2 linked regions of the Drosophila melanogaster genome follow. The protein of the gene in region 1 interacts with the protein of each later gene in a pairwise test. Each region holds a gene or a part of one and is shown on either strand. Other genes may lie near its edges.

Evidence for each region.
Region 2: the proteins of CG13947 (region 1) and CG42851 interact in a two-hybrid assay, tested with the Drosophila melanogaster proteins (one large-scale study listed by BioGRID).

Annotation. Positions count from the first base shown.
Region 1 is NT_033779.5:776,992-780,208, reverse strand, and holds CG13947 (uncharacterized protein), read right to left. Parts: upstream 1,037-3,217; 5' UTR 1,006-1,036; coding exon 646-1,005; 3' UTR 554-645; downstream 1-553.
Region 2 is NT_033778.4:24,807,595-24,810,916, forward strand, and holds CG42851 (uncharacterized protein), read left to right. Parts: upstream 1-1,730; 5' UTR 1,731-1,867; coding exon 1,868-2,062; 3' UTR 2,063-2,513; downstream 2,514-3,322.

The DNA of each region.
Region 1 (3,217 bases):
TGCACCCAACTTGAGAGGGCGACTGCATGGTCCATTTAAAACGGGCTGGCTTCATCCACCAGGATGCGGCTTAAAGAACTGATGCAGCGCATCCTAGGATTTGTGGGCTCTTGTTGCTGCCGCGTCCCTTTCGAAGGACGTGCCTATTCCAAGTGTCACAGCAGCCGAGCGAATCTCTCATGGCCGCCGGCTGTCAGCCACCAGGCGGCCTCGGCGAACAAGTTACATTTCGATTTCCGAATCCCGTGGCTTGCATTCCTCCCTCTGCCCTTCCACCATCGCCTTGGTCTGCCATCCATCACGGGGCTGCACTGACAGGAAATCCCACTTTATCTGAATGCTTTATTACACTAGTAAAATTTTCGATCCCACAAATACTTAATTTATGTGCTGTTACAGCAAAAAGGGTGTTCAACACAAAACACTTTAGACTCAATTTGATCGCACTATTAATTTAATACTGCTTTTTCCCCTTGAATCAAACGATTTCTCTCTGTAGACGTAATGCAAGTATCTTGTGCGAAATGGTGCTGAGAAAATGTGAGAAAGATTTACTTTTTGCAGAAAAGACTTTTATTAATATCGAGGAAAGCGCGGAAGAGAACAAGCCAAAAATGGATTTTAGATTGGCTGGAGTCCTGCGCCTTAAGCAGGGGATGACTCGGTGCTGGCTTCCGTGGTTGTGCTGGTGCTGGATTCGGTGGTCGTTGAAGTGGTGGTGGTGGTAGTGCTGTTGCTGGGAAGAGTGGCATTTGGAGGCAGTCCCCACGGTCCCCCGGGTCCACCGGGTCCACCAGGACCACCCTGGGGTCCTCCCTGCGGTCCACCCTGGGGTCCTCCCTGAGGACCACCCTGGGGTCCACCTTGAGGTCCACCCTGGGGTCCGCCCTGTGGTCCACCTTGAGGTCCACCCTGAGGTCCACCCTGAGGTCCGCCCTGGGGTCCACCTTGAGCGGCAGCCACGGCAATCAGTGCGAAGAGGGCGATGATGATGAAGGAACGCATCTTATATCTGTCCGTGGAACTGGTGTTTGATACCTATTCACCAGTTCCACAAGCCTTTTATACTCTCACCTCGCCAGTTCCACCGACTTCGTTACCAGATGGTTTTCGGTGACGTCGTCGCCGATCAAATAAACGTCAGGTGTAATTTGGTAAAACCGGAGCCGGACAAAGAGACTTGAGCTGTTCCAAACGCTAGATGGATAGATGAATGAATATCTGTTTTTCCCCAGCGTCACAGACCAGCTGCTGTTGATTCGATTTCAATACTGCCGTCGTCGCTCTTGTCTGCGTTTGTGCTTGTGTTGGCAAACACAAAGTGTTTGTCCAGTCGACTATTTATCACCATAGAACGTGGTTTGGGTGGTTTTTATAGCTAATGGAGTTGTCGCCTTCTGATTCGATTCCATTGGGCTTGCGGCTAATTCATCAGTTCGACCAGCAGCGGATGCGATTTATGAGTTTGCATGGGTCCTTCAAATGCAGGACCAATAAATAAATGTTAATTTAATTTGCATTGGTCGGGGAAAATTGCAAGGTCTGAAATGCGCACTCGAAAGTGCACTTGAATAAATTCGAGCTGTGAAAATAGAGTTAAACTAGTGCATACTTTATGCAATCAACTCAGACAATAGTTTACTCCTTAGTGCAATTAATATAATAAAGAATAGTATACAATATATTTGAAAACTGGCCTAGTTTCAAGTTGAATTTAAATGAATCAAAGCAATCCAGCTTAACCACTTTCAGTTTAATCACATTTGCGAGCCGTGTAGGCGAGGATGGCACTCAGGCTAATGCAATTAAACATTAATCATACGCACTGTATGCCCGGGCGGACCAGCAGGATACATATGTCGATGTCCGAGAACCGTTGCCGGGTTACACTCACAGTTTTAGACCGAAGCATCCACAAATTAGCAAATTGGACATAAATTGACTAATTAGTGCTAAAAGCAAGTGGCCAATGTTTGCTCCAGCCACACCGAGCACAGGCTGCAATCTCTTCCTCCTCCACCCGCCCTCCTTGTTAATTCTGTGATACAGAAGGGAAAGTGATAATTCAATGTGCGTAAATGGAAACTAATTTCGTTTTATTGCGGGCCCCCTTTTACCCCTTCTCCTTGCCACGACCCTGCACTTTCCCACTTGGCTGGGGATATTAAAATGCAAATTTCATTTGCATTGAAAATTTATCGCTTTAATGAGCGCTGCAATTGCAATTAAAAAATCTGAACAACTGTGGAATGTTTCCCGTTCCCTGCCCCAACTTTTTGCCCATTTTCGGCCTCTGGCCATAATCCACGGCCCAATGCGTTCGCTTTCTATAATTTGCCGAGCTTAGTCCGACCAAGATCTTCAAATTTTAATTAAAAACGCTTTGCATATTTTGCGCAATTGATTTTTGTTTTCCGCCCAACCAAGTGCAGTTAAAGAGGGCGAAAAGTGGGGAAAATGTGGCTTGGGTGTTGGATCGAACGAATTGTGCCATTATTCCGGTCACGCTTTTGTTCTCGAGAATTGATGGTTTAATCAGCTGTCTATCCGATCCGTGGGAAGGAATCCATCTGCTCGGATTTGCCTCGCTGAGTCGTAGGTCCTTTTTTGGTGCCTGGTAATTGAAAAACACACAGGCGCCTAGTGCATCAATTAGCAAAGCAAACGCAGCCACTCAGCCGGCAAAGACAAAACGCAAACCACTCCGAAGGACCTTGCCCCGGAATCCTGAGAATCCTGGGCGTCCTGACTACTGCAAGTGCATTCTATTAGTTGCCCAAGCCCCAAACCGAGTTTTTATCTCTGGGCAAACAGTCGCAAGTGCCGCACAAAAGACAAAGAGGCGAGCTATTGTCCTCGATGGATCACCCATCCATTCCCAGCTCCACTGCGCCAAAGTCTATATTGCCATGCAAATGCTATGGCATTAAAGGATTTCCCAACTGCCTCGTTCTTACTTCCATTTGTTAGTATCGCCATCGCCATCGCCACCGCCATCGCCGTCGCCATGACCGGCTTTTATTGACTTTGCGCATTTAACTTTTAATTTTCACCATGTTAAAGAGTCGTTCTCCGTGGGTGGGTGGCAAAGCGTGGGTGGTGCCAAACTGAATGGCAAAACTTTTTCCGTTAAATGCTGAAACAACCCCGTGCGCTTTAAGCGGTTCTTCTTGTTCGGCGTTTGGGGCTTGTAACACCTTTTAGTCCACTAAATGTA
Region 2 (3,322 bases), on another chromosome or scaffold:
CTTGTTGCCAGCCTGGCCCAACTGCATGAATGGAAGAAAGCCAGCCCAGTTTGCTGTTTTCCATGCTAAACAGAAGCTGTTCTACTGCAGCAGCAGTGGCGGCGTCAGGTGAACGCGGACGTGGATGGGGATGTGGCTGTTTGTGGTGGATGTTGTACGTAAACGCGCCCACTCGGTTACTCCGATCGGCTGCAAAAAGCGCTCCAAACAGCTAAGACAAAAGTAGGAGTCCAGCCATGGAGTGCCGAAGTTCTTACTACTCTCTATCGACATAGTTCGAAGCCCATAATCTGCCAAATTGAAAATTCAGAAGATTAAACAATCAAAGAAATATATATTGCAACCATATTTGTGTATTTCGGTTATATTGTACACGCTTCTCATAAAAAGGCATATACCTCGGTTTCAGGGTATCAAAATAACTGGCTTAAAAAAAGCTAAAAAAAAAAGGTCCTACCCCGTGGCGTTTTGGCTTTTGATGGGTTGGCTCTGCTGACTGCTCGGCAGCGGCAACATGCGGCATGCAGCAACAGCATCAGCAACGGCAACATGGGGCAGCAGCAACATAGTTTACACACCTACCGATGCCGCAGTCGAAATGAAGTCGGAGAAGAAGTCGGGGGCTGGGCTCCGTCTGCCGAACCCTCTGGCCAGCAACATGCACTTAACTGGTAGCCACAATGCACTTTATAATACCCGGGAACATGGCTCTCATCTGTGGCGCGGAGTGGGTATCTGCCCCTCCTCGCAGTTTGATAGATGCGGCTGACTCGGACTCCCGGAGCGATCTACCAGGGGGCGTTGCTGCTGTGCTGCAGTGCAACATTGGAGGACAGAGTCGCAGTTGAAGCAGCCGAGTAGGAGAGTAGCATAGCAGCAGAAGCTGCACCGTTAGCTGGCTTGGCTTGTGAGCTTGGGCCTCATTTGCATCGGGCCATAAACTCGGTGGCCCAGTTCTCGACGGGCGAACCCGTATCCGAATCTGCATCCGACTGCGAGTGCGAATCCGATTGCGAGCCCAATTGAGACGAACTTTGAGCCGGCGCTAGGCAATGGCCTTGGATTAGTTAAATCCGTTCCGTTGCGACCCGCCTAATCCTTCCTTCCTGCAGGGCACCTCATTAGCCACACCACCACCCACCCAGGTAGGGGTAAGGTCAAGGGTTTCCGGGCTAAGGGCTCGGAAGGTGTTTTCGCCGTGTACCAAAATATAATTAGCGAGCCGGGCAAATCTCTTTTTAATGCCGTCCAGTCAGCGGGGGTGTTCCGATTGAAATTGGAGCGTAGCCGAAGGAAGTGTGAAAAGTCGATGCAGAATTTCCGAAAACTGAGCCCAGGACGCTGAAGCTGAGGTAGACGAGGCCGGGAATTAAAAGCGCAGCCGCCTCTCATCATCATCAGCATCATCCTTAGCAACGTCCGCAAAACACTCACGCACACAGGGAATTAAGTTGAGTTCTGGGTTCTGGATACTGGATTCTGGATTCTGGGCACCGAGGTTCCAGTTCTGAGCTCTAAGTTCCCAGTTTCAAGACATGAAAGATGCCGACCGATGCCGAGGATTTTCGATGTGGCGCCGGCCAGTGAGTATAAATCATATCACTCACACACAAAAGGCGTGGGAAGGGGTAAGCTGGTATACAGTCCCGCGACCGCAGTCTTTGTTAATTAATTGCCCAGCTCCAGAATAGACACCTTTTCAGGCTTCGAATTTTTTGAGCCCCGAAGTCACAGCAAACTTTGCATTTTTCGGAGGCGGAACCAAATTCAACAACATATTTGATAGATTTCAGAAAACCTACGATTCATAGGTTTCAAGGGGCCTTGCAGATCCATGTGGCTTCTCTTGCTCCTGCTGGGTCTGCCGATGGAAACAAACGAAGGAGAGGAGTGCAGAAATGGACTAACTCTCGGACGCCAGCAGTGCTACCTCCACGAGGAGATCTTTCTAGCCCACCACCCTTTGCAAAGTGTCACAGCCAAGAGGCTCAAGCTTCCCTGGTGGTGCGCCCTCCTAGAAAGCCTCTTCCTGCTCCTGCTGGTGAAGCTGCTCCAGTTGTAGATGAGCCAACATCTCTCTCTCTTTCTCTCTCTCTCCGTAATTGCCGCTGATGTAAGCGGACAGGTGGAGGCGACAAATGTCACACATGCTGCTCGTAAATCACATCGGAAACGGTTTTGCTCTTGCTGCACATGATAATTTGGCCAGGGTGGCTTGCTGGAGGTCTGGCCTATGTGCTTCTAATTAAATTGTTCAAAATGTTTTAAAGCGCGCTTTTGGGTCTGGCGCTGGAAAATCGCTGACAAATGCTTCCATCAAAACACAGAAAAAGTTTTCATTTTGTTTTGTCAATGTCCAGGCCACATAGCACTCAACGGTGGACGGGCACAGTGGGCTGCGATCTATGGAAATGGGAGCATATGGAAATATGGCATCACATGGTTTTGTGACAAATTATAAATATATATTTTACAAGAGGTGACTGTAGAGTAAATAAATACTAAATCAAATGATATTTTAGATATGATTTAATCCGTATCAATGATGAGTAGCCAACACTTTTCCCGTTCGAATAAAACGGAAACAAAACTACGGCTACGAGACAATTTAAAACGAATTAAAAGCGCAACCGTTTGAAACCTCCCGAACCCAAACAAACCGAACCGAAGGCATCCAATTGAAAATAGCAACAAGTTAATTTGGACAGCCCCTCCCCCGCCTACCTTCGCTCCTTTTGGTAAGTCATTAGAAAAAATGTCGAGTCGCGCAATTTGAATATTTCGATGGGCAATGTATGCGACTCCGACTCCGTCGGTTAATTTAAGGTGATAATTGCTTTTTAATGTGACACAACTAAATTTTTCCCATTTACATACTGCTCGTTGTTGTTGTCGTTGTGGTTGTACTGCTTGTTGTACCGGAAGTTTTTTGGGCCTGCGCATGTGCAGCCAAGAGGTCAAAGGGTAGGAGGAGGGGGCTGAAGGTGCGGGGCCAGACACTTGTTACGTCGCTGGGATAACAACGATGGCAACAACAACAGCAACGACAACTGCCGACGCCAGTACAATAATAAAGTGTCAACAATTATTTTCAAATTTCCAAACATTTCATTTCATTTTGGTTCGGTGCTAAGCTATTTGATGTTTTTTGGGGTTTTTGGTTGGTGCTTTGTGGCTGTTCCTTTCGAGTGACGCTGCTTAAAAGGTTTTCAAAGTGTGAAATTGGGATTGCCGCATCCCCTTCGTAGTTGAGCGGATTTCAGGGGTGGAAATATTCAGTAATGGGTTCAACGAGTCAAGTTGGAAGAGTTATCTAATACCC